2 linked regions of the Cricetulus griseus genome follow. The protein of the gene in region 2 purifies or fractionates together with the protein of the main gene of each other region. This does not show direct contact. Links are inferred from orthologs where the notes say so. Each region holds a gene or a part of one and is shown on either strand. Other genes may lie near its edges. The genes, in order: Tlr4 and Ticam1.

Evidence for each region.
Region 1: the proteins of Ticam1 (region 2) and Tlr4 purify together in Homo sapiens (affinity purification with western blotting; 3 studies listed by BioGRID). This does not show direct contact. The link is inferred for Cricetulus griseus from reciprocal best matches to the Homo sapiens genes TICAM1 and TLR4.

The regions. Positions count from the first base shown.
Region 1 is NC_048595.1:79,139,385-79,155,259, reverse strand, and holds the start of Tlr4 (toll-like receptor 4 precursor), read left to right. Parts: upstream 1-8,147; 5' UTR 8,148-8,396; coding exon 8,397-8,486; intron 8,487-13,219; coding exon 13,220-13,386; intron 13,387-15,875.
Region 2 is NC_048598.1:97,276,287-97,292,209, reverse strand, and holds Ticam1 (TIR domain-containing adapter molecule 1), read right to left. Parts: upstream 10,272-15,923; 5' UTR 10,152-10,271; intron 6,203-10,151; 5' UTR 6,079-6,202; coding exon 3,802-6,078; 3' UTR 2,994-3,801; downstream 1-2,993. Other genes in the region: Plin3 (perilipin-3), read right to left, coding at 12,929-13,279, 14,025-14,150, 14,764-14,963.

The sequences.
Region 1 (15,875 bases), on a different chromosome or scaffold from region 2:
TTTCTCCCTTACCAGAAATTGATAAAAAAGAGAAGAAATACAATGAGCAGTATCCATAGCAAGAGATAATTATAAAGAATCTGCCCATTTTTTAATTCAAAGCATCTTGAGCACTTATGAGTGACAGATATCAGTGGGCATTAGGGCTGGAATTAAGAATGTAGCAGACACTGCAGTCAGTACTGCCTTGTATTTTATTAGACAATGTATAAAACAAGACACAAATCAAGTACTATTAGTTTTCAAATTTATTACCATAAGTATAGATGTACCTGATGTGTACTGAATTTCTCCAAGGTACAAAACACTATGATTGGAATGGGGTATGCTGAGATAGAATATATTCAGGGGTTGTCTTGGTGGATCTGAATGCCTAGTGGACAAAGAAAACTCTTTTCTAACAACATGACAGATATTTGCTGTGTGAATCCTAAGGTTAGGTTTACAATGCTGAATTGGAGAGACTGGACAGTGTTAATAAAATACACAGTCTTAATGTAATATATTCTATACCATAGAAATATTGAACACAGTACATTAATGATAGTAGATTAGAAATGAGTATCTGTGGATAAAAAAGTTAATTTTTCAAAATAGTGGGAGAAATAATGAGGCTTCTCTTTACTTCAACATACTGAAATATATATCAGTGAGTAAATATTTTCAGTGGTCCTTAGGAAACAATTTTTTCCTGATGCTTAAGCTTTTTTGTTATTTATTTAAAAGGAACTCATTTTCCCTTGTAAACAAATAATTCTCCACTGAATATAGCATGCTATTAATTATAAGACATACTTCTATCTACCGAAAAGAAAAAAATTAAAAGCCCTGCCCACTATAATAATAGTGCATCAATATTCAGGAAGCCTATTATGAGCTGAGAAATGTTGCTGAGGTTTTCTTGTCCAGCCAGGTCCTGCCACCCTTATCCCAAAATGAACACACACAGAGACTCTGTATTAATTATTAAGCTGTAGGCTAATGCTAGGGCTTCTTATTGGCTAGCTCTGTATTAATTACTAACCTATTTTGATTAATTTAAATATTTCCACGAGGTCTTATCTTACTGGGGAAGGGACAAGACTTGTTACTCCTTCCTCCACTACATGGCATCTCTTTACTGCCTACCTTTCCCAGAATTCTCCTTGTATTCTAGTCACTCCCATCTTCCTGCCTCTTTTAGCCAAACAGTGTTTTATTCCCCCATCAGAGAAGTGTTAGTAGGTGAGAAGTGTGAAACTCAGGGATGTTAGATAGTTGGAAGGAAACAGTTAAGGTTCTAATATACAAGAAGCAAAGGGAAACTTTCTTCTCTCTACCAGATTATATTGTGGTTATTCACTCTTAATGTAAGATTGTGTTGCATATATTTTGATGATGAAAAAATGTTAGTCATTAATAGGGCAGCATTGCTATTGTACAATGGATCCTGCAGTTTTTGATACTCTCTCTCTCTGTGGGTCTCTGTCTGTCTCTTTGTCTCTCTCTCTCTCTCTCTCTCTCTCTCTCTCTCTCTCTCTCATGCGTGTGTGTGTGTGTGTGTGTGTGTGTGTGTGTGTGTGTGTGTGTGTGTGTGTGTTTGAAGTAGGACAAAAGGTTTAAAGGTTAGAGATACCATTTTAACAAATGAGTTCTTAGGACTGATTCTAACCATAGAATGAAAGAAAAGGTTATACAAGTCAGAGGTGACAGAGGAAAGTAGTTATGAATATGGATGTGCTTCCCTCCTCTTTTCATATCTTGGAGAAAACTCCAAGCCTATTTATCAAATGTAGCAGCACAATGAAGTAAAATGTCTCTGGTAGCAGGAATCATTCTTCATATAGTTGCAAGCATGGATTTTCTCACTGACAATTTCATGAGCAAGAAATATGTATCATGTCATGTATATGTGTTATGTCATCATATAAATTAAATTAATATAATACTAGTCATATGTATTGTATTTTGTTTCTTATTGAATATTCAGCATCTTCCACGTTGGACCAGATGCTCACTTTTCTTTGGTAAAGATAGGATTCCTCCATTGGCTGAGTGATAGAAAACCAAGTGGCTGCCTAGTCAGTCTACTCTCTATTGTGCTTTAAATAATGAGCTCATGATGGTAACTAATCACTTGTATATAACTCATTGCAAAATTGTATTGATATGCTTTTTGAGGTTAAGCAATAAAACTCCATTTTTTAAGGTTTCTCTCTTGTATTCTACACATGGCCTATCTTCTAGAAGAGGCTCACAGAACTGAAATACCCTAGTTAAGGTCATACATGCCAATGCATTTTTCTCATTAGTTTCATAAGGAAATATCCACACAATGCACTCTCAGGAATATTTCTACTACAGTTAAGAAAGCTTTCCAACACACAAGCATCAATGCCTCATAAGGCATAGTCTAGAAGGGATTATTTTATTCTTTCTCTTGGGTTTCATTTTGACAACTCAGGGGCTTCCTTTCCAATAGTAGAAAGGACATTTGTATCATAGTAAGTGGGGGGTCTAGTTATATCTGTCATTAATTAACATGCTTTGTTTGTTCCTCATAGGTGACATGTTTGTGTATAAAGGGTGTCAAGGAAGGATTGAGGTCCAAGGAATATTACTAAGACAGTTAGGACATATTCTACTTCCTGTGTTTTTACAGGGAAAACTTGAACTAAAGGAGAAATAGTGGGAAAGTTGAGTCTTCTGAATATGTGAATCTGGGTTTTTAAAGACAGATTTACAGTGTATTACACTACCCTAGACTAAGGGACATAGTCAATGATGGATGAAAATGAACAATTAGATTTTAGAATTAGTTTATATTTGAAGTTTCTAGAGTTTGACACAATTTCTTTTTCAATTGTGTAAGATTTTTTTATTATTATATTTAACAGTTCTTTTTCTATTCCACTATCTTCATTGTATAGCATTATATAAGTTAAAATAGTCCTTTGACATTTTATGGGTTTCCTTTTATTATTATTATTATTTCTTTTTATTTAAATTAAAAAATCTTATTTTACATACCAGTCCCAGTTCACTCTCCCTTCCCTCCTCCCACTCCCTCCACCATCTCCCTATCCCAGACCCCATCCACTCCTCAAAGAAGGTGAGGCCTCCCATAGGGAATCATAAATTGGCATAATTTTCTAAATGTGTGGTTGAGATTAATAGAGTAGGAGATGATTCACTTTGAAAAGATAGACATTAATTTTTTCTTTAAATTGATTGACTCTGTGTGTCATATGCCCCCTTTCTCTCTCTCTCTAACTCTCTCTCTCTCTCTCTCTCTCTCTCTCTCTCTCTCTCTGTGTGTGTGTGTGTGTGTGTGTGTGTGTGTGTGTGTGTGTACATGACTGTCTGCATGTGGAGAATAAACAGGACTTGCATGCGCTACTATGACTTTGTACTTTATTCCCTTGGGATAAAGTCTGTTGCTGAACATGTAGGTAGACTGGTGGCCAAAAAGCCCCAGGGAGTCTCTAGAAAGGAGTATCTGGTCCACTGTTGTCTGCTCTTCTGCAGTTTAGTTTTAGATAAGCTTGATTTGAGGCACTTATGGCATATTTTGGGGGTGTCAACTAAGACACTGGTCCACTGACATTTAACCTAGTTTTATTAATCAGAAACTTAAAGTAAACTTGCCTTTTTGAAGACATTGCTTTGAGAGCTTTACAACAAAACTTTGAGTAAGTATGATTACCCCTATTTTATACATTTTTGATAATTGCTATAGTTATCTTTTATGGGATCTGATAAGAATCTATGATGTGGTTGATTTAATTCAATCATGCAAGAGAAATGCAATTATCTTGTATTTATTCTATGATTTATTTACTTTTTGTGTGTACAAGTGTTGACCTACATATTTTTATGTGTATCAGATATAATGATCATGTATGGCCAGAAGGCAGCAAGTTCCCTAGAACTGGAGATACAGATGCTTATGAGTTACCATATGAGTGCTGGGAAGCAAACCCCATTCCTTTAGTAGAGCAATAATTGATAGCCTTGTGTCTTTATTTTACATAGTAGCAAATGCTGATTTGGTGTCTGTGTATTCTGCCTGCATCATGTATCTTTTTCTTTTCTTCAGAAACTGCTGATTGACCTTTTAATCAGAACAATGAAGGGATACACTCTGTCCCTAGGAGTGATGACAGAACATCATTTTGTAGCAGGACTGGGATTTACAGGTTGGAAAAAGGAATTTGAGGAATGAGAAGATTCCTTCTGTAGGTCAGTTCTGCCAAAGTCTCAAAGTGGTAAATACAATGGAGGTTGGTATATTTGAAGGGACAGTAGCGCACTCAACAGAGCATGTGGCTCTGCAGGCCTCGTCCTTCTTCCCCATTCTATCTGTCTTGCTAAAAAGTGTTCCTAAAGCTAGCCACCAAGGTCCATATCCTTATTTGGTCATTTCCTCTTCCGGAGGCTGACTAACAAAGTCCAGCAATCAGAAGCCCCCTCTGGTTCAACTAATTAACATACTCAACTAAAATTAAATACCTCATCCTAACACGGGGTTTCCCCTTTACCTTTATAAACCACCATTTGCCTATGTGTCATATCTATCTGGTTATTCTCTATCTCATGTCTGTCTGGTTCTTCTCTATCTGGAGGCAGCCCTTTGTTCCTCCAGGACAAGTACTCTTTTCTCCTTTCCTTTGTCCCCTTCCCCTTCTTCCTCAACCCATATCTCCTTTACCACTACCACATAGACCATTCTAACACAGATCTTCTCCTCTTAAAATGTAACCCTCAAAGTCATTTACTGGTGTTATCTGCCTGACTCAGAAAGCAGCCACTTTAAGTTTTCTTCCCTGCTTAATAAAGGATTTCTGTGGAAACAGATGCTTGGGTGGGCTTTGTGCTTAATCCAGGGTCCAGGAGGTAGTCCCTACTGTACAGGAGTCTCCTTCAATATTTATCTTATCAGAAGTTTCTAGGACCAAAAATGATCCAGGAGAAATCACATAGCTTTCTAAGCATAAGCATTCTAAATATGAGTTTCTATAGGGAGAAAGAAAGAGAAAAAAAAAAAGAGAGAAAATGTTTTCAGTTTTACAGGTCAGAATGTAAGATTTGGAAAACAAAGTCATTTGAGAATTGTCACCTAATCATAAGTCATGAGCCATAGACCTGACCTGAGGATATGTAATTCTGATCCCTTCTGCTCTACTCATGGTGTTTCCCCAGAACCTTTCAATTAGCTTCCTATGTGGGCATTTCTTCACCGGCAGTGTCACATGTAGAATTATGTACTGTTCTCTGACATTCATATGTTGAAGTCTTCATCTCCCATTGCCTCATCCTGTGACTTCGATTTAATGAGATAATTAAAATAATGTTCTATGGTTCTGCCTTAGTACAGTATAAGCAATATTACTTTTAAAACTGCACTTGCGGCATGCAGCAGGTGGCCATGTTGGAGTGGTGGAGGCAGCACAGAGGTGCGTCCTGGGTCCCGGCGGCGGGCTGGTTTGTGGATACCAAGGCAGATCTGCAGTGCCTGATGCCATAAGCATGGTAGTGCACCATGTGGAGGAGAAAGCTGTACACTCCTGGTCACGAATTTCCACAGCAGGGAAGAAAGCCCTGAAAGAGCCACTGCTTGTGTTTAATCCTAGGAGCCAGGATCTCAGTGCCACAGAAGCCCAGCTTGTGGCCTTCCTACAGGGCCTGCGAGATGATGGCTTCCAGGGGACCATTCTGTGAAGTGGTGATGTCTATGGCTTTAGTTCATGCACAGCCACCGCCCCCCAGCCAGACAAAGCTACAAGCTCGTAACACCAACCCATCTGCCACATCTCTTCCATCCAGGGCTCCCCAAAGTGCTGTGTTGCAACCTGCAATCCAGCCACACTGCTCCCGTGCCACTGTTTGGCAGGCTGACTAAGGGGTCCACACCGGCCCTCGCCAAGCATGCTACCACTAACTTGCTGCTGAGCTCTCTGAAGCAATCAAATGCCAGCCACACCAGTGGTACAACAGTAGGCTTCCCTGCCCACCTCTACCCAGGTGTCTACCCTGACATACGACTGTCTGTGGTCCTTGAAGCACTGGTTCCACTCAAGATTCCTTGCTTGGGTATTAAGAACAGGGCACAATCACTGCTGCTGTCACTTGCAAACTCTACCCTGAAACTGAGAAAGGTTCGGGGAACCCACAGTCCAAAGCATCCCAGAAAATAACAAGCAAAGGCATCAAATGCCTGAGTAGGAAAGGCCCTGGGGCTGATCAACAAGGCACTGGGCCCCGGAGCAGTGGCCTACGTGTGAAAGGGTACTCTGCCTTGGGCACCAAAACAGTGCGGGCCAAGGCATCTCGAACACTGACCAAAGCTGCTCATGCCCACGCCAGCCTAACTCGAACCCAGAACAAGTCAGTAAGGGTCAGGGCCAAGACAACAAAGACCAAGCCCAGGGCAACAGGAGCCAAATCCAAGGCCACTGTAGTAAGGGACAAGGCTAAAGCCAAGGTGGTCAAGGACAAGCCAAGGCCAAAGCAGCTCAGACCAAGTACAAGGGAAGGCCAAAAGGATCTGTTCAGAGTAGAACTGGAAGGACAAGCCTGAAAAGTGGCTCTGAGTCTGTGGGGAAGAAGAGGAAGAAGGCTGAGGAGGTAAAGGGTCTTCCTCCTAAGAAGAGAGCACAGTTTGTGCTCCAGTCTTCTAAGGCAAGGCTGCGGCCTAGAGCAAAACCACGAAAGTCCCAGACTATAATGGAGCACAGAAAATTCTCAGAAGATGAGGTTCTACAGTGGGCCCAGCAGATCCTCCGTGTGAACCTCTCTCCAGTAGTATGGCTCCAGCCATTGCTACCATCTTGATTCCATACTCAGCATCCTGAGTCATCCTTGGCAGCAGTGCTTGGGAAAACAGTTGGGCTGTCCATGTGACCAGTATCACAGTGTGCTATGCTCGTGGACTCTGCAGCTTTCCAGACTCTGGGTACCTCCAGGACCCCTGTGGTCACCATCCTCTTTTCAGAAGCTGAGGATTTGGGGTTGGGTGGGTAGCGGTCTGGGTGTTCTCATGGCTCAATATACTGTGACTTGTTCTTCTAGTTGTACATCCAATGTTCCATCTATCATGTTTTATATCTTTCCACAAAAAAAAAAGAAGCAGGGGGCCGGGCATTGGTGGCACACACCTTTAATCCCAGCACTCAGGAAGCAGAGACAGGTGGATCTCTGTGAGTTAGAGGCCAGCCTGGTCTCTAGAGCGAGTGCCAGGATAGGCTCCAAAGCTACACAGAGAAACCCTGCCTCGAAAAACAAAACAAAACAAAAAGAAGCAGGGCCTGGGGAGACATGTCAGTAAAGTGTTTTATGTGCCAGAAGACCTGCAGACTGCTAGCACCCTCATAAAAACTGGATGCTTTGCATGTACCTCTAACTCCTGCACTGAGGTAGGGGCAGAGAAGACTAGATCTCAGGAACTCACTGGCCACTCAGTCTAGTCAATGAATGAGCAGTCAATTAGAGACCCTGGCTCCAAAATTGCAGTGGGGTCTTCTGAGTTTTACCCTCAGCTCACTAGCCAACTCTTATTCTTGGGAATGCATTCCCCTTTGTAATAAACTGTGTCTGTTCCTTTCTCTAACAGTAATAATAATAGTTATAATTAATAATTAATAGTAGCAGAAGAATGGAGACAAACAAGGAAGTCATCCAACAGTGAACTCTGGTACACACACACACACACACACACACACACACACACACACACTTGCAAGTGTACACAGAGAGTACACACACATGAAGTATTCATCCCCCCCATGAATAAGCAGGTACACATACACAGGTGCGTACACATATACCCAACCAAGAAAAGATCAGGACACAGACACACCCCACAACATCATTTTTCTGGCTTCCACCCTTCAGAATTGTGAGAAAATAAGTTTCTGTAGTTTGTAACACCCAGTGCAGTACTGTGCCGTCAGATACCTAGAAGTCTAGCTTGACCACTAGTGAAAACAAAACAGGAATGTGGACGTTGCTCCAGGCACATATACTGGCTTCATGAGTATCTGGTTACTTTCTGCGTTCCCCAAGCCCAGAGGTCAGATGACTTCCTGGGATGAAAGCCAGCTTCCTCTTGCTGTTCCTCCACAGGCTGGTCGGCAAACGCCTTCTTCCTGTTCTTTCCTTAGTCTTCTATCTAGCCTCCTGAGATAGGGTAGATACATTCTAGAGAAAGAAAGAAAAAAAAAAAAAAGTGAGAATGCTAAGGTTGCCACTCTCACTTCCTCTCACCCTTAGCCCAGAACATTTTTTAATATAGTTCTTTCAGAGGGGCACCCGCCCAGAGAGAAGAGGCCGGTGCCCCAGGGACTCTGCCTTGCCAACGGCTACAGTTAGTTCATCATGCTTTCTCACGGCCTCGGCTGGTTGCAGAAAATGCCAGGATGATGCCTTCTTTCTGCCTGGCTGGGACACTGATGATGGCATTGTTCCTCTCCTCCCTGAGACCTGAAAGCTTGGATCCCTGTGTGGAGGTATGTGTCTCGACCAGCTCCTTTCCTGTTAGCCTCCCTTGTTTCTCAAAACTCTCCCTATGTCGGAGCTTCCTGCTGTGTGTTCTGATTTGTTTATTTTGCACACAGGAGTTAAACTAACCAAAAACTTGAGAAGCTGTGAGGACAAAGAGACTCTGTGTTAGCAGGGCAGCAACAGGCAGCCAGTCAGTGTCTTGTTCTGTTTAGACTTCCGAGCCATGATTATTAAAGACTTGAAATTAGTAAAACTAAGGATATTGTTTCTGTGACTTGGCTGAGTGACAGCCAAGAAGTTACTGAACCTTTCTGAGGCCAGTTTTCACACTGTAAAAGAATTACAGTGCTCACAGGGGGATTGGAGAAGGCTAGTAATAGCAGGCCTTTCTGTTGGTACTGTGGACACTCAGCTTTCAGAAGTCATTCCTTTCCTTTCCTACTCAGGTAAAGGTGGCTGTCATTTCTGTCTCTTAAGTAGCATCTGTGTATGATGGAGTGGTCGATCAGCAGGTTCAGTCAGTTGCTGACAAGCCTGACTACCTGAGTCAATCTTCAAGCCCCACATGGTGGAAGCAGAGAATCTACTTCATTCTCTGAGTTCCAAGTGTCTGCCCTGACAGTTGTGTGCATGCATGAAAGTGGACACACACACACACACACACACACACACACACACACGCACGCACGCACGCACGCACGCACGCACGCACGCACGCGCACACACACACATGTTAATAACTGTAATTTTTTTCCAAATGAAAGAATTTTCTGAGAATTTTAAATTCTACCACTAATTTTAGAAAATAATGAAATGGGAGGGAGGGAAGGGGAAAGACAAACGGGAGGAAGATAAAGACAGAGAGACAGAGAATGAGATAGACAGAGACAACAGAAAGAGGCAGAGAACAATGTAAAACATCAGCTAAGGCAGTAATTCCCTTCTTGGTGAAACAATGACTAGTGAGTAATATGATTCATGACTAATTCTTATTTTCTCACTGCACAGACCACACAATTATCTCAGAAGCTCACAATAGAGCTGAACAAACAGGGAAATAATTTAGGGCGAGGCAGGCTCAGAAGCTCAAGACAGGTATTACAAGTTGGAGTCACGGTGTTGACCTGGAAAAAATATTATAGCATAACAAAGACTAACTCCTTGCTATCTCGGTATCTTGTCTTCTGATTCCTTAGTTATGCTGACAGAGATAGAGTTTCCAATCAGTTTCATACTGAGAAAAAATCCTGTGGTATATACTGTACTCTGGAAACCCCCATAGTCAGCCTGTTTCTTCCATAAGCTCATGTCTCAGTTCCATGGGCCTTGTCTCCAGGGATTATGACTGGTTCCCTAATTTGCTGTCCTTTCTGTAACCACACTTTCATCTCTATTTGTTTTCACCGGGCCAGAGGACTGGATTTATCAAATTACTCCTTTACCATTTTTAATAACTCTTTAGTGCCTCCAAGGCTGTTTTTCCTACAGAGTAGTTTCACTGCTTGTCCTACCCACACAACCCCTCCCCTAGATCAGAGCTGTCTTATGATAAAATTTTGGGATCTGCTTATATAGTTTAAAATGTTCCTGGTGGTCAAACTGAAAAAAAATGAGTGAAGTTATTTTTAGTGATATATATTATATAATCAAATATAGTCCAACTATTAAGAAGATAGTTTATGTTCCATTTTTGCTACAGAATATTAGAAAGTCAGCAATATTTTATGTTTACTACAAAATTTGATTTATACTACACACATGGTTCATGTTCAACAGTTGTCTGTGACATATAGCCACAGACAGAATGTAGGACTTTGATTTCAGGATTTAATGTTTCACTTTCACTTTATGTAGATCTCTGTAAAAGGGTCTCCCCAGGGTGTTTTTTCTTGATTCCCAGATGGAGATATCTGCCTTTGGCCTCTTTGTGTGTGTTTTCATTGATCATATCATATCATATTTTTGTCTGTTTTTAATTAGTTATCCTTCCTTTTCTGCTGGGTTTATCAATATGCCACCAGTGTCTAGATCATAGTAGGTCTTTAGTTTGTATGCAAATGAAAGAATGACTGCTGGACAATGTCTGATGCTCTTGTGTTCAGGTTGTAGCTACCCATAACTTAAGGCTCTCCTCCCTTGCCTGTTGCTAGCCAATTCATCTGAATTTGTTCCTACCCTTTACTTGCTTATGTTCTTTTCTTCTTATGATTTACATTTCTTCCCTTTTCCACATGTCAGATACTGCTCACCTTCCATGTTCTGGGTCTACAATCAGTCTCTATTACCTGTGAACCAGGCTTGCTTTGTAGGTTTTAGTCCCTTTCCTTCTCTTCTAACTGATGTTGAGTTCGATGACAACTGGAATTGTACAGCATTTATTTTTGTACTGCTCATGGCCCTTAGCAGAAAAAGCCTACCATTTGGTTTACATGGACCTCTGTTCACCAGGTATAGAATTTTCTATCATTCACTCATGCAACAAATAGCTAATGGGCATTGACAGGTCACCTTGCAACTTTCTGAGCCTTGGAGACAATGTACCAAACAAAATCATCAGAGCATCAAAGCTCATAATCCAGTTCATCAAATGAACGACATTTGGAAAATAATTATATAAGCAACACAAAGTTGCTCTGTGATTGAAACCTATGAAGGAAATAAAAGAGGGCAAGTGAAGAATTTCTTCCTGACACCTTATTCTATTAGAAGCACTCTCTTTAAGGATACTATGGTAAGTATCGTGTAAGCAGACAAATGTGAACATACATGGATAAATCCTTTATGTGCATTACCCCATCTTCTCATTTTTCCATCTTTAAAAGATGTTTTGAAGATTAACATAAAATACATAACATGTAAGTAAATTGTTGATATACAGCAAGGGATTAATAATAGCCAATGATAATTAACATTAATATTCATCACTTTAATTATAGCAAGCTTTGAGATAAGATCTGATCTCATTTAATCCTTTGAGAATTCTATTTCTTTTAAATAAGAGAAAGCAAAACTCACTGGGTTAAACAAAGAATTTTCTGGAAGAAATCATGTAATTATGAAATTAATTGGAAGGTTATGGAATAGGGTTTACAGTAAATATGAGAAAATAGATAAAACTAAGTGGGGACTATAACAGCACAAAACACTTGGCCTTGATCAATGGATTCCATGTACTCTAAGACTTCCTCTCATTCCTACACCAAGTTGCTAAAGTCAATAAGCCAAGAAAGAAAATGTAATTGTCTAAAATAGGTGGTATCTAAAAAATATCTGGATGTCTTCATTGGTACTCTCCATGTGTCTGTATATAATTAGGATATGTAATTAGAATGATAGTAATTTTACATAAAACTATGTATTTACAAAATATGTGTATTTTACATAAAACTAATTAAATTAGCTGAAGGTATTATAAAACAAACATTGTCTCATTCTCAACATTCATTAGTTTGTAGAGAGTTGAGGACTCCTGAGCTTTTTACTCTATCCATGGTAGCATGTCTTGTTGTCATGTTTAGGAAGTCATGTTAATGAGGCTTCTTTTTTTCCTTTTTAAAATTTAAATTAGAAACAATCTTGTTACATGTCAATCACAGTTCTATCTCCCTCCCCTCCTCCCCTTCCCCACAGCAACTCCCTATCCCATCCACTTTCTGCTCCTCAGGGAGGGTGAGGCCTTCCATGAGGGATTATCAAAGTCTGTCTTTATGAGTGTAGTTTCTGACATTATTAGGAGACACAATATCACAATAAACTTGTTCCCTTGGATATTATATTATATTATATTATATTCTTTCATTGCCCCGTTTTACAATGACCTCTGAGCTTTAGATGCAAGTGTTTTATTGTTAATGTATCCCTTGGAACTGGGATGCAGAATTATGCATTTTGATTGGTTTTGGTTTTCTGTAATGGTCTGTTGTATGGGAAAGAATCTTGCTGGGGAAGAGAATACTAATTGGTTACCAAATATGAAATGGTCATCCCTGAAAAGATATATATGTAATATTATACAAATTGATCAGGCTGTACTTATGTAATTATGGTATATATATATATATATATATATATATATATATATATATATATGCATGTAACAAAAACTAATGAATAAAAAGAGGAAATGGATTTGAAAGAGATCAAAGAAAGGGGTGAGGGAGGACTTCAAGGGAGGAAGGGAAATGATATAATTATAATCTCAAGAATAAATAAATAAAATGGTTAAAAAAAAGTTTCTTTGCACCCCGTGGCACAGAACATCTGTTATGAAACCGAGGATTTAAGAATTGATAGCCCTTTAATTCCTGATTCTCTTGTTCCTCATTTAATAATGTTTTTTTTTTTTGTAGTAAAAGGCTAACACTGTGAGAATTCAGGGGATACTTTTTTCCTATTGTATAGAAGAAGAGATTTTTATAAACATGAAGTGGTAGATAATGAATGGGTGATGATAGATGTGGTGTCTTACTCTTATAATATCAACACTGGTGTGGTGTGGGCAGGTAGATCAGGAGTTCAACGTCAACTATGGCTGTAAAGTAAATTTAAGTCCAGACTGGGATAAATGAGGCCCTGTTTCAAACAAAACAAAACAGAATGAATGAATGGGTAGATGGGTGTACAAGAGAAGGTTGGAGGGCATGCTTGTATACAAGTTTTGCCACCCTATTATTTGTCTTTGGGGAGGAGTGGGAAGACATGCAGTTGGAAACAGACCTTTGTTATGTGATCTTTACAGGTGGATTCTAACACTAGCTACCAATGCATGGATCGGAATCTCAACAAAATCCCTGACAACATCCCTTCTTCAGTCAAGCATTTAGATCTGAGCTTCAACCCCCTGAAGACCTTAGGAAGCCATAGCTTCTTTAATTTTCCAGAACTCAAGTTGCTGGATTTATCCAGGTAATAAATGAGTTTTAAATGCTGCACAAGGTGAGATAGTTATTTTTCTATCATTTCATTCTTGGCCAAGAAAATTTATCTTATCTAACTCAACTTCTTGCATTGATTCATTCATTACAATGTATTACTTGCTGTATATCCTCCAACAAGCTACTTTTATCACTCGGTTTCAGTATGATGCACCACTAGATAAGATCACTTAAGGACAGTTCTAGGTTTATTTTAGCTTAAACTATTCCATTAGATGTTTGTGGGCCACATACTATATGTTGTTCCCTAAGCTACAGAACAAGCATTTATAGATACATACCTCATAGTCCTACTTATTAAGTAGGATTAATATGTTCTTCAATGAGTTAATAAGTTAAAATTTTGTCTCTGATTTTATACACATAGCACTGTTACAACACATGTTAATCAACTCTGAAGCTGTGGTTTATAACAGTGACTGACAAACTATGTACAAATAAAGGCAACTATTGGAAGAGGAGCTGTCTTATCATGTGTTGGGAGAGGATGGTGACATCAGTAGGTGAAGGAGATGCCTGAAATAGTGAAAGTGAAACAGAGTGTAGAGAATAAGAAAGACACTAAATTAGGAGAAAGATGCCAAAATTCAAGAAAAACATTTGCTATTGGCAAGAAAGTGTTGCTGAGATTTATTTTGTGACCTACCAATTTTAACCATGTTCTCTGTGTAACCATAGATTTAGAACTAGCTATTGGAGCCTAGTGAGCTCAACCATTTGATGAGCAGCTAAAACCAATGACTGTCTCTCCCCTAGATTCTAAAGTTTAATAGGGAGCAAAGGATTCCATGATCTCCTCGCTGATCCATGACTTTTAATTGGTAGGTTTAGTCTTGTGGAGGTCCAATGCAGGTAACCACAGTTGCTGTGAGATCAGGTTTGCAATGGCTGTGTCATGCCGAAAGATAACCTGTCTTCTCCCTGTCATCTGGCTCTCATCTTCTTTTTGCTCCCTCTTCCTCAATGCTTTCTGATCCTCAAAGCAGGTATTATAATTGTCTGTTCAGAGGTGAGCACAGAACCATCTTATGCTCCTTCCATCTAGAACATCTAAGAAAAATCTGTATTCTCCACTGTTTACTATAAGAGCAGTGACATTTGTTAATGGGTATAAATATCATTATTTAGACAAGAGTCTGGTGCCATGCTAATTTAGTTAAACCACATTAATAACAACCATACCTCCCACCCCATAGTTATGCTAACATTTCAACACTAGACACAAGTTGCCTGGCAAGTTCATGTTATAGTTCTAGGTAATTAGCTAGATGATACCAGTAATGACTTCTCTCTCCAAGCAGCCTCTATAGCACCTTCTTGCCGAAAGCTATTTGTCAGGAGGGAGGCTTCAGCTTTACATCCGTGAATTGTAATGAGAGGGGCATCCTTGAAATTTGAAGTAGATAAAGGGCCTTCATTGTTTTTTTTTTTTTTCAATGTTTGTAAAACTACAGAAATGCTTCACATGTTTTTATTCCAAAATGCCTTGATAAAGATTAAGATTATGGTATTAAAGGTCTTCTGCGAGAAGTCATTACTGCCAAAAATTTATCAAATACTTTATGCATTATAGTCTTTACTTGGGCATTAACAGAGTATTCCAAAGGAGGAGGGAAACACCTCTGTAGCATGAGGAAGAATGGAGCCCATGTTTCTTCCAACATTTATAGCTGTGTGACCTGATGCATGTAACTTTTACCTGAGTCTCAGTTATCACTCATATTAAATGGAAATGATAAAACTTCCTGCATGACCCCCGTTGAGGGCCCTACCCTGTCTGGGGAGTGGTGGGTGCATGGGGTGGGGGGTAGGTTGGGGGTGTGGGAGGGGTGAGGGGAGGGAGAGGGAGAAGGGACTTACATGTGAAACAAGCTTGTTCCCTAACTTGAACTAATAAAAAAAAAAAGCAAAAAACTTCCTGCATGGTTAAATGTTATTATGCATTGAATGTAGTAAAATTATTTAGTGAGTTTTATAAGTTTAAAAATGCTGTTATAATCATTTCCTTAGATTTTATTTTTTAGTTTTTCCAGGGAGATTTGAAGTGAGCCAAGTTAGACTGGGGGATAGAAAAGAAGTAGAAAGAATAATTTCTTATCAATAAGAAGGGGATGTGATTTCTCACCAATGTCCTATATAATTGAACATTGATCTACAGTACAATTATGAGCTTGTCTCTCTCCTTGCTGTATATAGCATATCTTACATTATCTTGGAATAAAATTCATAATATTTCATTTGGTTTGTGAGTCTCTACTTTATCTGCAGACCCCCTCTCTTCACATCTTCATGTTAGCCTTCCTTAGTTCCCATTTCCCCCTACAGCCACAGAGACTATGTATTATGGATCCTCCTTTGGCATGCCTGATTCTTACATTGCCTTTTAGACCTGCTGATTGCTTTACTTTTATTCCTACTTATCATTAAAAATTCTGTTTAAATATCCACTGTTTGACTACC
Region 2 (15,923 bases):
AGTGTGCTCCAGACCCAGGAAGTGGGGTTGCCAGATACTTCCAGAACATGCTGCTCCCTGGCTCAGCCCAGCTATCTTCAAACCTAAGACCTCTTTATTGCCTGTGAGGGACATACACCCAAAGCCGCCGCCGAGCCTCACCACCTGCGTTTGAGCCCCAGGACCCAATGGAGGAGAGGACTGACCCCTGTAAATCATCCCCCGACCTCCACACTCATGCTCACACGAAAGAAATGTGGAAACACTGTCACACATTCTGCTCGGTCAGACCCCAGCCACACACAATGTCGGGTGACACTGTTGCAAGACACGACTCTCTGGGCTTGGAGAAAACATTTGTAAAACAAACAAAAGTCCCTTAGCATCCAGCATGAATCCCAGGATGCAGAGCAGATGGTTTTCTGAGTTCAAGGCCAGTCTGGTCTGCAGGACAACCAGGACTACTAAGTGAGGCCCATCCTGCCCTATCCATCCCAACAATAAAAGTCAGAAAGGAGTGTGAACAGAGCCAGCTTTCTGAATTCCCAGCTGGCTAGGGACACACCCTGCTGAGACTGCCATCAGACTGAACCCTGGAGGTCAGAAAATGTCCAGCCATGGTTCTAACCCCTCAGACTTCCTTCTTGCAGGAACTTCCTTTAATTGCTCCACCCACCAGCTCTTGCCCCATCACAGCCTTAGGGCTGTCCATACAATGGCTGAGTAAATGCACACACATGGCCTTCCCATGCCCAAGAACCCATCCCAGGTCTGCACACAGCAGGCACTAAATAATGACTCATTAAAAGAATTCATGGGGGGGACCGGAGATATGGCTCAGGGTTAAGAACACTGACTGTTCTTCCAGAGGTTCTGAGTTCAATTCCCAGCAACCACATGGTGGATCACAACCATCTATAATGTGATCTGGTGCCCTCTTCTGGCACGCACTGTATACATGATAAATAAATAAATACATCTTTAAAAAAAAAAAAAAGAATTCATGGGGCCGGGCATTGTTGGCGCACGCCTTTAATCCCAGCACTCGGGAGGCAGAGGCAGGTGGATCTCTGTGAGTTCGAGACCAGCCTGGTCTACAAGAGCTAGTTCCAGGACAGCCTCCAAAGCCACAGAGAAACCCTGTCTCTAAAAACAAAAAAATAAAAGAATTTATGGGGCTGGAGAGATGGCTCAGAGTTTAACAGCCCCGACTGCTCTTCCAGAGGTCCTGAGTTCAATTCCCAGCAACCACATGGTGGCTCACAATCATCCGTTATGAGATCTGGTGCCCTCTTCTGGTGTGCAGATATATATGGAAGCAGAATGTTGTATACATAATCAATAAAATCTTTTTAAAAAAATTCATGTAGGGTTAGAGCTGTGGCTCACAGGCAAAGCACTTGCCTAGCACCACAAGTAAATTTAAAAAGGAAATGTGTAAAAAACATTTAGGCTTTTGTCTTGAGATGGGTCCCCCCACAGCCCAGGCTGGCCTCAAACTTAAGTAACCAAGGTTGGCCTTCAATTCTTGATATCTTTTCAACCTCCCAAATGCCAGGGTGATTAAATTACATTTCTTGACTTAATGTGGGTATGTGCAAGTATATGGAGGTCAGTTTGCAAGAGTCGGCTCTCCCCATCCACCATATGGGTGGGTCCTGGCGAGGGAACTCGGGTCATGATCCATGACAAGCACCTTTACCAGCTGAGCCATCTCTTGCCCCCCCCAATCCAGTAGAAGTGAATTGACAGGCAACTGTCTGCCCTTCTCTACCCTGTCCTCTGTGTACCCTCCCCCCAGTCTTCTCACTATACCCCTAATGTGCTGGGCTCTGTCCTGCCCTGAGGCCTTTGATTGAGCTGTGTTGTCCACATGCACCTCAGGACAGGCTGTCACCTCCCTGCTTATTTCAAGTCCCTTCAAGTTTTCCCAGGTCCCCTTGCTTGCTTTACTGATGCTTCCTTTGACACCTCACCCTGGAACTCCACAGCCAAGAACCTAGCACCTTCCCAACCACCCGTCACCCCACACACCATGGTTCAGAGGATTTCATTTACATACCCCACCCCCAGAATCTCAGAACTGTGATGCTGGGGTTTCACTTCAGGTCTGCCTTGCACAGACGGGTCTGACTAGGTCTGACTCAGAGACTAAAACAGAAAGCAGGAGTGACTCATCTCCTCCTGCATGTAAGACAGGGCCTTGGCTGTTTGTGGGATGAGCCCACAGTTGCTTGTCCTTGGAAGTCTGGCTTTCTTACATTAAGTTCCCCTGAATTCTAACTCAAGTGATGCCAGGGCCACAGTTTTCCCCAGCTGTTAAATGAATGAATTCACATTTCACAGAGGCTTGTTTGGAGGGTTGAGATGTCTGGGCACATTAAAAGCTCTTGGATTTTCAAGACAGGATTTCTCTGTGTAGCCCTGGCTGTCCTAGAACTCTATTTTTAAGACCAGGCTGGCCTTGAACTCAGAGATCTGCCTGCTTCTGCCTCCCAAGTTCTGGGACTAAAGGTGTGCGCCACCGACACCTGGTTCATCCAGGGCTATGTAGAGAGAACCTGTCTCAAACGAAACACTGGTCAAAAGAGCACTGGTCCAGAGGTCCCGAGTCCGATTCCCAAGCAGCCACACTGTCCATTACCAGTAGTTCTCAACCTTCCTAACACTGATCCTTTAATACAATTCCTCATGTTGTGGTGGCCCTCAACCATAGAAATATTTTTGTTGGCTGGTCATCGGTGGCACACACCTTTAATCCCTGCACTCAGGAAGCAGAGGCAGGCGGATCTCTGTGAGTTTGAGGCCAGCCTGGTCTACAGAACGAGTGCCAGGACAGGCTCCAAAGCTACACAGAGAAACCCTGTCTTCAAAAACAAACAAACAAACAAAAAAGCTAAATAAATGTGAGGAGATGGCAGAGGGTCGGAGATGCAAAGTCCCACAGCCTTGGCTGAACCACACCACTTGCCCACACTCCAAAGAAAACCCTGCTGTAGCAAAATCTGCCAATATAGATGTTAAAAAAATAATAAACCTTTTAATGTGAGAATGGGTTTGACATGTCTATCCCAGTGACCCACATGGAGGAGGAGGACCGGCTCAAACAGGTTGTCTTACAATCGCCACACATTCCTGGCACACATACACTACATAAATAAATTCACAAAAGCAATCAACACCACCAGTAACTCCCCAGTGTTCTCCTTTCCTAACACTGCAAGGTTTCCTGGGATATGGCCGCCCACAAAATAAACTACGTTTCCCAGAGTCCCTTGCAGCAGAAGGCCACGTGGTCCACGCTGTCCAATGGGATGAGAATGCATCCACAGATTCCGGTTCCTGTCATTCAGGGAGCCGGATGGAGCTCCTATTCTATTCCAGTCCTGGTGGAGCTGAGTCTCTTCTCTAGGAGGTGGTGGGTGAGGGCGCCGGCTCGTGACTCAGCTTATAAACCCTCAGCTATTATAAACCCTCTCCATTGCCCCAGCACCACATCCTCCCCAGAGACTGTACGTGCCACGGTGGATGAGGGTCACGTGGCCGCTGGGGGCACCTTGGAGGAGCCTATGGCTCCTTAGCGGTCTGTCCACCTAGAGGGTGCGGGTTGGGGTCCCAGAGTCTTGTCCAATGTTCAATAGGGTTCTGGATGTTTTTCCAGGCCCTGCGTTTACAGGCGAGGTCTTCCTGGCCTCTGGGGTCCAATTCATGGCCGCTGTGTAGGCCCAGGCAAGGTTCCCCTCTCCCACTGTCGCTTTGGTGACTCAGGTGAAGTCCAGCTTGGCCACTCTAGCAGTCTAGGTTGGGTTCAGCCTGGTCATGTTAGGAATCTAAGTGGGCTCCAACACGATCACTCTCAAGCAGGGGTCCCCCCTGGTCACTCGGAGGGCCCAAGCAGGGGTCCTCACACTCAGTCTTGTCATTGGTCGACTGGGTCCCTGTCTGGCCCCACATGTGGTTGTTGACCCCCAACTGAACCATCTGGGCATGATGAATAATGAGAGGTCCTGGAGTCTGGGTGGCTGCAGGGGAGGCCGATGGGAAGGGTGGGGACTGCGGGGAAGAGACTGGAGGCTGCGAGAAAGACGGAGGCTGCTGCGGGAAAGACGGAGGCTGCTGGGGGAAAGACGGAGGCTGCTGGGGGAAAGAGACTGGAGGCTGCGGGAAAGACGGAGGCTGCTGGGGGAAAGAGACTGGAGGCTGCGGGAAATAGGGGGAAACCGGGGTGCCACCCTGCCATAGTTGTGAAGGTGTTAGCTGTGGACATCCCAGCCAACTGGGGAAGGGTGTAGGGGCCCCCAGTGACAAGTCCTTCCCGAAGGCCATCTGCAGGCTGTCCATCTGTGCTTGCCAGGCGCTGTAGCTGTGGACATAGGTTGAGTAGGCAGCAGACATGGCAGCCACCCTTTGCCGCTCGGCCTCCAGCTGTGTGCTCTGCTCCTTGAGGGCTCTGGTCTCCTGCTCTTTCTTCCAACGTATCCGGTATGCCTGGAGCTTCTGTGATTTGAAGGTGTTTGCCACCTTCCTGGCAAAGATAGGGGAGTGTTCATCCAGCCACACAAGGCTGTGGAGCAAGCTGGTCGTGTTGGGGCTGAGCTGGGCCTGGGAGCACTCCAGTGGGAGGAGGGGGATCACACAGTCTTGCCTTCCTGATTTCGTGAGGCTGTTCATAAGGGCGTGGTTGACTTGGTGCAGGCTCAGACGACAATCAAAGTTGGTGGTCAGAAGCAGGATCGTATACCCAGAGTGGTCGATAGCATCTTGGAGACAATGCAGCTCACCACGCCCAGGCACCTGAAATTCCTCACAGAAGGTGGCCCCATCGGGCACCCCAAGGGTCTCTAGCTTCTCCCGGATACGTAGGGCCACATGCTCGTCAGCCCTGGCATGGATAACCACAAAGTTATAGAATTTCTGCTCAGATGTTTCCAAGTGGTCCAGAATGGGGGGCATGGAGGCTGGGGGGACAGGACAGCTGCTGGGGAAGGAAGCAGAGGGCAGAGGGGGAGGAGGCAGTGTAGTAGAGAACTGGGGGGACTGTAGCTGGGCAGCGGGGCTAGATGTGGTGTTCTGCAGACTGTCATCTCCTACAGAGCCCGGGGGTGACATCTGATCGGTGATAGACGGCTGCTTTCCAATGCCTTCCGTGGTGGGTGGCAGGAGAGACTGGGAGCCTACAGACGCCTCTGTGCATTCAACCGGGCAGTGGACACTCGTGTCTGGAGCAGCCAGAGAGTCAGGGTGGATGGCTGAAGCCACCTCAGGGGACACCTCTGGGACCCCAGTTCTGTGTAGTGACCCCAAGGGGACGGGGACGCTGGTGTCCACTGACAGGGGCCAGCTCACTTCTTCAGGTTCTTGGCAGCCTGCAGGGACAAGCTGAGGCTCAGGGGAAGCTGGGGGTGTGTCACAGAGCTTGCTGGGCCCATGGGTTCCACGGTGTGGACAGAGGAAGGGCATAGTGGGTGACTGGCTGATCTCCAGGTGGCTAGCCAGTGAAGCGATGCTGCTGGTAGAGTGTAGAGAATGTCCCTGGCTCCAGTCTGATGTGTCAATGGGTCGAGGCTGGCTTCTAGTTACTGAAGGGGATGCTGAAGAAGGAGGCAGGCAACCCTGATCAGAATGGAGTGGCTGGAAGCCACAGTGGTCCCCCATGATGTCTGAACTACACCGATCCCGGGCCTCCTTCTGGAGTTGGCCCAGCAAGTGGTTACCCTGAGAGGCGAGGTCATGGAGGGCCACCTGGTAAGCCATGTCCCTTGTGGAAGCAGGACAAAGGTTCTCTTCAGCCAGCAGGTGGTACAGGCGAGCCACGGACCAGGACAAATCTGGAGGCTCCTCAGGGCCTTCTGTGCTGTCCACACCTATCCACTGGCAGGCTATCAGCTGGGCCACTGTGTCTGCCTTCAAGGACTCCAAAGAGGTCCTGGCCTCAGTGTTCTGGCCCAGAACCAAGAGCACCATGGCGTGAAGAAGCTTGGACTCCTGGCTGCCTGGATTCAGACTCCCCAGCTTGTCTTTCAGATGGACCAGCCTGTCCCTTTCCACTGCTCTTAGAAGGTTTAAGGCACCATGGAGTGATGGGTCTGGGTTGGCCATGGATGAGGGAGGATGAAGCCTGGAGCCACAGAGGCTGGGACAGGTGGAGACATGTTCTGCAACAGCAGCCTCCTGCCCAGAGTGTCCCCTGCTGCAGGAGATCCCAGAGGGTGGTGCAGCAGACCTGCGGAATTAGGAGTTTATCGTGACTTTCCAAACAAGACAGCAGAGGCAGGGGGGTCTCTGAGCTCCAGGGCTACATAGGGAGATGGGTCAGCAGGAGGGGTGGGGACAGAGGGAAGAGCACTGGCCAAGCATTTGCCGCAGAGTTCCATGTCCCACGCCCAGTGCCACAAGAACCAGGTGTGGTGAGTGAGCGGACGAGTGGGGGTGAGTGGATGTGTGGACTGGTATGAAGTTCTCAGTGACTTACAGGACACTCACAGTGATCCTCAGCTGGGACGGTCACCATCGTCACTCACCCCAGCTCTCTGTTCACAGCTGAGAAGACCTCAGAGTCGGTCAGTCCTCGTGTCCCCGACACCCATCCCCCCTCTATAGCCAGGCTGGGATGGGACTCACTCCTGTCCCACCCCAGGGCCACCTGCTGGCCTCTCAGGCAGGGACAGGTGTGGCTGTTGTGACCAGACAGCCCTGGCATGGAGTGGTGAAGGCTAGGGACACTTCTTAGAACCCTTCCACAATGCCCCATAGAGAATGTCCCAGCCATGTACGTGTCCGGGATGCTCAAAAGGGACCCTGGTCTAGACCTGAAGTCAACACGTCAGTCAGTTAACCCACAGACTTTGCAAACAAATGACCAAAAAGCCTATAAAGACCGGACTTGAAGCAGCAGAGGTAGGCTGGGCAGAGGTCAAGGGAGCCAGGTAGGCAGAGGGAGGGGCCTAATGACCATTGGCAGAGCCAGAGGCACAGGAGCATGACAGGTGGGGGCGGTGACGGCAAATGGCAGCCCAGGAAAATGGAAAAAGCTGGAAAGAGCAAAAAAGGCAGGGCCACCACCCTCTCCATGACTGCTGGGAAATGGAGGCAGTTAGGTGTGAAAGTGTAGACAGAGGCAGTGACAGTGTGACCAAAAGCAACAGAGCTAAGAAGACCTGTCAGACAGAGAAAGGGGGTCAGCTGCCCATCGTGGCTGCAGACCAGACGAAGCCTGAAGAAGGGTCAAGAGCTACAAGAATTAAGGCTTACTTTGGCAGAGCTGAACAGTGTGTCCTAAGGACTCAGAGACAACAGTTGGAAGGGACATGAAAATGGAGAAGCCTGCAGGGCGTTGGTGGCACATGCCTTTAATCCCAGCACTCGGGAGGCAGAGGCAGGTGGATCTCTGTGAGTTCGAGGTCAAAAAACCAAAAACCAAAAAAAGAAAAAAAGAAAAAAGAAAATGGAGAAGCCTGAGAGCACTGCAAGGGGAGGGCACAGCTCATACAAAGACCCTGGGGCAGAGGACACAGCAATGCAAAGGTCCTGGGGCAGGGGCCAAAGCCCTACCCCTAAATCCCTGTCCTGACCCCCCACCCCACCAGAAATCTCCCACCCTCATCTAGGATGTCCACCTCTGTCCTCAGGTCCCTCCTTCACACCCGTGCAGTCTCTTCATTTGCTTACCATTTCTCACTCAGGAGTGTCTGGGCTCTGCCGTGGGAGACGCTACACACACACACACACACACACACACACACACACACACACACACACACGGGCATCAGGCAGAGCAACAGGATGTGATTAAAAAAAAAAATCACCTAAGATCATTTCGAGAAATAAAAGTGCCATGGAGGAAATGAACCTGAGACAGAACCTGGGGTGGAGGATGCCCTAGGGAGGGCATGACTGAGCTGCACCCCTGAAGGAGATGAGCTAGTCCAGAGAGGCCCTTTGGAGAGCACTGTGAGTACAAAGGTCCTGGGGTACGGAGTGCAGCCTGGCATGCTGGAGAGGTGAGTAGGCAAGAACAGAGGGAGGAGGGGCCCGGGTGGCTTTGACCCTGAGGGAGATGGGAGCCCTGGAGGGCTATGGGTGGAGATCCTAGGGAGGAAGCTCCCTATGTGTGCTGTGGGGAGGATGAGTCCAGGGGAGCTCCAGGCAGAGGAGAGTGTCACAGAGTTAACCAGAACTTGTCCCTCTCTCTCCCCCTGTGCATGCTATGTTGTCACTTACATGCACTGTCCCACCTAAGGGCCTCTGCATGGATGTCCCTCTAGGAGCACATAACCTCAGGCAGTCAGTCCCTTCTCTAGCAGGGCAGCTCTCAACTCCTCATGACCTCCTACTGAATTTTACTTCATGTCCCACAACAGACAGGTATCTGGGACCCAGCAGGAGCAGGGCTCAGGTACAACTGTATAGTTCCTAGGATCCAGAGTGCCTGACACATAGTGGGTACATAATGCCGACTGTGGGCTGCCAAGATAGCTCAGTGGGTAAGGATGCTTGATGCTGCCAATCTGGACTGAACTTTGAGTTCAGTCCCTGGACCCATTAGTAGAAGACAGAAAAAGTTAAAATAAAATGCATAAATGAACAAACTGCTGGGCCTGTTTAATCCCAGCTCTCAGGAGGCAGAAGCAGGCAGATCTCTGTGAGTTTGAAGCCAGCCTGGTCAACAGAGCGAGCTCCAGCACAGCCAGTGCTACACAGAGAAACCCTGACTCAACAACAGTAATAAATAAAATAAGCATTCACTGGAGAGAAAAAATTAACACATGAACAGGGTGGTACCTGGTATACAATAAGTGCTTAAAAAGTGCTTACTGAGGCCTGGGAATGCACTGAGTGGATAGAGTACCTGTCTGTCATACAGGAGGCCCGGATTTCAACTCCCAGTGCCAGGAAGAAAGAGGCAGGGGCAGAGAAAGAGGGAGACAGAGAGAAACACAGAGAGGAGAGAGAAATGTTTATTGACACTGCTAAGCAAAGAGCAGGCAAAAATATAGCAGGGTGCATGCACAGTATTCGAGTTTTATTTGCTTGTTTTCTGTTGTTGTTGAGACAGGATCTCATAGACCATATAGGCATTGTACTATGTAGCCCAGGATAACCTTGAACTTCTGATCCTCCTGCCTTTACTACTTAAGGGTGTCTGTTTCCTCTTATCCAAACTATCTGAAAAGCTAAGGCAGGAGGATTTTTCTCTCTCTCCTCTCTCTTTCTCCCCCTCTTTTGTTTTTGGAGACAGGATTTCTCTATGTAGCCCTGGCTGTCCTGGAACTCGCTCTGAAGCCCAGGCTGGCCTCAAACTCACAGAGATCCACCTGCCTCTGCCTCCCAAGTGCTGGGATTAAAAGCATGGGCCAGCACCACCAAGCTTGGGAGAGTTTCTTGAAACCAAGAGATCAGGGACAGCCTAAGTGAGTTCCAGGCCAGCCTGGTCTACATCTCCAGATACAAATAAATAACATAAATGACATCAAAAAATAGAAGTAATTATTTTTAGGAGAGGGGTGAAGGCACTCAGTGGGTGGAGCTCTCGTCTAGCATGCATGAGACCCTGGGCTCTATCCCTAGCATGAACTATGACACACGGATGGATGGATGGATGGATGGGTGAATGGGGCTTCCTTTCTTTCTTCCCTGGCTTTCCTGACAGACCTGACAATCTCTTGTGGCACAGGGTACCCTTCCCAGTCTCTGGTGAGTGTCAGCTCTGGGACTCAGAGACTGAGTGCTTCCAGGGAACCTGGATGGTTCCAGGATTGACCCTGCAGGTACCCAGGGGCAGCTGGCTACAGAAGTTTCACCAGGCCAGTCCCAACACCTGGAAGACTGCTGCCTGTGTTAGTCTGGGGATAGAGGTTTTGACAGGAGACATTGTGGTAGAGAAAGTGGCTCTGATCAGGAAATAGAGACCAGGAGAGGGATTGGGGGTGGGGAGGCTGAGAGTTGGCTGTTGTGGCTGGAGGAGACCTGTGTATTGGAAGATCTAGGAATTTGGGGGGTCACTGAGGTCTGAGCAAGCACCCAGGATCCTAGGACTGGGTTGGGGTCAGAAAATGGGCTGCGGATCTGCTTGAAGCAGCAGAACGGGCTGCAGGTGGAGGTCCAGCGTGCCACCCAGGCTGTCCAGGGCCCTTCTGGCCCTGCACCCGCTGTCCCCTCTGCCTTCCTCCTACCTGGCCGTGGGGTCCTGGGCTGGTGGATCTCAGGGTCCCTGGTGGCCGCTGGAGAGGGAGGAGGGAGAAGAGGAGGGAACGGTTCCACCCCTTCCGTGTGGGGAGGAGCAGATGAAGTCAGCTGTGTCCCGCCCCAGAGGGGAAAGTCCCCAGGGCGCCCCAGCCCTGGCCCTGCCCTCCGCCCAGCGCCATAGTGCCACGTAGAACAAGTCAGGGCTCTCATTGTGTGGGGCCAAAGCAGGGGAAGAAGAAACCCCCACCCCCAGAGACCGAGGAGCTGGTAGCCACAGACCTCAATTAGTGACATACTCTGTGGGGATTTGCAATGCACCATGTGGCTAAGTTCACAGGCTGGTGACTTATGCCTCTGGGTCCAGCATACTGGAAGCTGTAACAGGCCCTAAGCTACAAGCTAGCCTGACCTACACAGGGAGACTTCCATCTCAAAAATAAATTAACAGGCCAGGTGGCAGTGACAAACACCTTTCGTCCCAGCACTCGGGAGGCAGAATCAGGTGGACCTCTGTGAGTTCGAGGCCAGCCTGGTCTACAGAGAAGAGTGAATTCCAGATCAGCCAAGGCTACATACGCAGAGAAACCCTGTCTCAAAAAAGAAAACAAAACAAAAAAAACCCGAATAAATAATAAGTAATAAACAAGAGTGCTGGAGGCTACAAGGAAAAAATCCATCTGTTTTTTTTTTTTTTTTTTTTTTTTGAGACCGGGTTTCTCTGTGGCTTTGGAGCCTATCCTGGAACTCGCTCTGTAGACCAGGCTGGTCTCGAACTCATAGAGATCCTCCTGCCTCTGCCTCTGCTGGGCACCAATGCCTGGCTGTGAGAATATTTTTTCACGTCACATCTTATTTAATATTTTTTCGTGTGTGTGTGTGTGTGTGTGTGTGTGTGTGTGTGTGTGTGTGTAGGTCAAAGAACAGCAAGTTCCTTCACCTGCTGAGCCATCATAAGGACACAAAATAAAAAAAAAATTGAGGTTTCTGGGTATTTAGTATTTTAAGAAACAACCTTTGTGGCCAGGCATTGGTGGCACATGCCTTTAATCCCAGCACTCGGGAGGCAGAGGCAGGTGGATCTCTGTGAGTTCGAGGCCAGCCTGGTCTACAGAACGGCTCCAAAGCTACCCAGAGAAACCCTATCTCAAAAAAAAAAAAGAAAAAGAAAGAAAGAAAGAAACCACCTTTGTATGTACATGATGCTATCCTACAACTTTGGGCTATCATCCTGACTCAGCCTCCCAGATGGTTAGATTACAGGCATGTTTTAAAACTGATGAAACTAAATTGTGAAAACAGAAAAACAGAAGCGATTTATAGGGGACACTGATTGGGAAGTGGTTTGTGTAAATGAGCCATCCACCCCAATTGGGAGATTCTAGGTGGGAGAGGGGGAGCTGCACCCTGACCACACCCCCAGCCCCTCACTGGGGAATTCTAGGTGGGGCTCCATCCTTGACCCCCACCCCCAAGCCCTCAGTGGGGGATTCTAGGCAAGAGTATCTGGCTCATGTCACTGACCATGATGTCTCCACAGCTCTGGATATTAGAGTTGGTATTAGAATGGCCCGTGTTTTCCTTATGTATAAGACAAGTTTGTGGAAGTCAGGGATTGGCATCAGGTATCTTTTTTGGTCACACTCAAGCACATTACCATTGGACCATCTCTCCTGCTCCCGAGTTTTGCTATTTTGAGCCAGGGTCTCCTGTAGCCCAGGCCAGCTTCAAACTAACTTCGTAGCCAAGGGTGAACTTGAACTCCTAATCCTCTGGTCTCTAGGTCAAGGAGATCAGACATGGACGTGCTTGGCAGGTGGTGTTCAGTCTGCTGCACTGACCTCCTCTTCACCTCACAGAATGTGCAGGGAAGGGAAATGGGCAGCAGGTCCCTCCTGGTCCTCTGCCAGGGTGGATCCATGGCTGGGAAAGGAACAAACACACCATCTGCCTGGTCTCTGATGCATGTAAAATTTATTAAAGCAATACTGAACCCCAGGGTTTGAGGAACACTGGACACTCAGCCTTCAGCCACTTTCTCATCTGAAATGATTTTCACATCCCTGCTGTCCACCCTGTCATGGAGGCGGGCTTCTTGGATCAGGTATCAGGGTCTGTTAGGAAAGCGCTTGCTATTGTAGGTCATGACATAGTAAAGGGACCAGAATGCAGTATCACCATGACCTGATGTCTGTCAAGACAAGGTCTTACCTAGCTTAGGCTATAACTGAGTTTGCTATGCAGCATCTGGCTTTGAATTCTTTCTTTCTTTCTTTCTTTCTTTCTTTCTTTCTTTCTTTCTTTCTTTCTTTTTTTTTCCTGAGGCAGGGTTTCTCTTTGTAGTTTTGGAGTCTGTACTGGAGCTAGCTCTTGTAGACCAGGCTGATCTTGAACTCAAGAGATCTGCCTGCCTCTGCCTCCTGAGTGCTGGGATTAAAGGCATGCACCACCACTGCCCAGCTGGCTTTGAATTCTAGATCTTCCAGTTTCTACTGTCACAGTGCTGGCATAGGATGACAGGCATGTGCCATCACTACTAGTTATCCTGATTTTTTTTTTTTTAGGGAAAAAATTTTTCTAGAACATTCTAGAAAAAATTTTCCAGTAACATTCTAGAATTTTTTTTTTTTTTTTTTTTTTTTTTTTTTGCTTTAAAAGACTGATGGGAAGAGGTTAAATACTTCTTCAGACTCAGGGTAGGTGAGGACTTGGTGTGCAACAGGACTTTTGGGAAAAGCTGACTGGAGCCAGCTGCGGGCCCTGACCCCTATCCCTGCTTCTCCTCTTCCAGGGGTTTCTCAGTGATTCCAGGAGCAAAGGGGCCCACCAGCCATGTGACTGGAGTGTTCTGGGCCACGTACTCCACAGTGTGGTCGAGGGCCTCCCGGGCTCTGGCTATGCGCTCTCGAGTCTGGGCAAGAACACCTGCTGTGAGGTCCTGGAAGGAATGGATGCCAGAGAAGGTGGCCTGAAGATCCTCAACCTGGCTGCGGGCCTGCTGGGCCTGCTCCCTGATGTGGCCAGGCAGGCCCTGGATGCTGGCCCCCAGGGCCACACACGTGCTTTGCAGCTGCTGGGTGATGTCCCTCAACATGCTGAGTGCCCGGGCCTCCACCTGCTGGAAGGAGAGAGTGGGGATGGGGTGAGGGCCAGCAGGGGGACAGCCCAGCATCAGGGACTCCCCTCAGGCTCCTATAACCAGGGAGACACTGGAAGATGCCTAGAATCTAGACTCATCGTCGAACACAAAAGCTACTAGGAGGGGACAGAAGCCAAACAGAAAAAAATTAAAAAGCAGCTGGGCAGTGATTGATTCACGCCTTTAATCCCAGGCAGGCGGATCTCTCTGAGTTCGAGGCCAACCTGGTCTACAGAGCCAATTCCAGGACAGGCTCCAAAGCAATACAGAGAAACCCTGTCTCAAAAAAGAAAAAAAGAAAAAAACAACAAAAATACAAACCCCAAATCAAACCACAATGTGGACACTAAGAGACCAGATGTGATGGCCATACAGCTGTGATCTCAAAACAAAACCAAACAACCCTCCATAGCAATTTTAAAAATACAAAAATTAAAAACCAAAGCCAAAAATGCCAGGTGGTGGTGGTCCACGCCTTTAATCTCAGCACTTGGGAGGCAGAGGCAGGTGGATCTCTCTGAGTTCCAGACCAACCTGGGCTAGAGAGAGAGTTCCAGGACAGCCACTGCTACATAGTGAGGTCCTTGAGAAACCAAGATAGAAAAAAAGCCAAAACAGAATCATGTAAAGCCTGGATTCTGTGGTCACCCCTGGGACAGGAAGCACAGAGTGCACAGAGCAGGGTATGCAGACGGACACAGGGATCCCGGTGCCCAGCAGGTACCTCTGGTTTAGCTGCATCCTTTTCTGCATCTTGGGGCTTCTTCTGGTTCCAGCTGAGCCACATGTGGTGTAGCTTCTCCTGCCCCTCCCCCAGCCTCTGGTCCATGCCCTGTTTCACCGATTCCATCTGCGGTCCAGAGAAAAGGGTGGGGGTTGTGTCAAAGGGAGCACTCCTCTGTCCCAGATGTTGGGCTCCAGCCAGTTGGGGACAACAGGAACGGGGATATTCTTCATTTACATTTTTTTTTCTTTTCTAGCTAGCCTGGAATTCACTATGTAGACCAGGCTGGCCTCTGCCTGGATGAAAGGCTCTGCCAAGGAGTCCCACACCTTTGCTTCTGCCCTTGGGCAATGCTGAGGATGGACCCTGCTCCACCAGCAACCACCGTCAGTCAGTTTCACAGGGAATATGACAGAAGAGTGCCTTAGCTGATCTCGGGACCCAGCGACCAGCATCCCTAGCTGCCAGGAAAGTAGAGAAAGCCTGTGCCCTGCCCCACACACCCTGGAACCGTCTAGATAATGACACTGGGTTCACTATCAAAGCCTGCAACTCCTCTCACAAGGTTGTACAATGAATGTGTCTGGTTCAGCTGCACAGATTGTGTACTTTGCTACACAGCCTGAGCTGACTCATACACTATGGTGTATGAAGCCAGCCCAGGGGAACTAGCCCAGCCCACCTGCTATGAGGTAAGATAGGAAGGTGGCCCCAGCCTTGGTCACACCCCGACTCTCACCAGGCTGAGTGCATGCGTGAGCTGCTGCAGTGCCTCATGGGCATTCTGCCTAGCGCTGCGCAGCTTGCCCAGTGAATGTTCATAGGCGTGGTTGCGCAGCCGTTCTGACAGCGAGCCCAGCCGGACGAAGTAGTTCCTTTCTTGTCTCTGCTGCTGCAGTGAGGCCAGGTCTGAGCCCTCTGGGGATGTGGCAATCAGGGCTGTGGGCACAGAGGGGGAGAATGCTCAAGCTCACACTGCCTGGTGCATGCCCTGTGTCGAGGGTTGAGAACCCGAGGCAGGAGGCTTGCAGGTCTCTGGCAACCCAAGCTACAGGAGCCCCCATCTCAGAATAAAAAGCAAAACAAAGTTCATTCCCAGGACTTGGCCAGCAAGATGGCTGAGCAGGCCAAGATGCGTGCTGCCAAGCCTGAGAAACCAAGTTCAATCCGTGGAAGTTGTGCTCTAGACACTTGAAATACACTTAGCACAGGCATACTTCATATGATTAAAGTGAAATATATTTTTAAAAAATTGAAAAGCACAAGCTTTTAAGCCCAGCACCAGGGAGGAGTATTGTGGAATAGAATATTTGTTTAGCTATGTAGAAATGTGTTGCATTTGTTTGTGTTGAAGAAAATTGTTTAACTATGTAAAGATGTGCTGCTGTTTCACCTTGCCTGCCTAAGGCACCTGACTGGTGTAATACAAAGCTGAAAAGCCAACTGCTAGGCAGTAGAGGGACAGGCCGGGCTGGCAGGCAGAGAGAATAAGGAGGAGGAGGAATCTAGGCTCAAGAGAGAAATGTCAGAGAAAGAGAGGGAGATGTGCTGGGACAGCCAGCAGACACAGAGAAGCAGGAAAGTAGACTTACAGAATGAAAAAAAGGTAAAAAGCCCCAAGGCAAAATGTAGATGAACAGAAACAGGTTAATATAAGTTATAAGATCCAGTGGGACAAGCCTAAACTAAGGCTGAGAATTCATAATTAATAATAAGCTTCCATGTTATGGCTTGGGGGCTGTTGGTCCAAGAAAGCCTGCCACAGAGAAGGAGACGGGAGGATGGACCCCCAGGGCTCCTCCGGACAGCCAGCCTAGCCAAATCTGTGAGCCCCAGGTCACTGACACCCTGTAAAAAACAACGGGAAGAATGGCCTTGGGCAGACAGAGGCCAACCTGT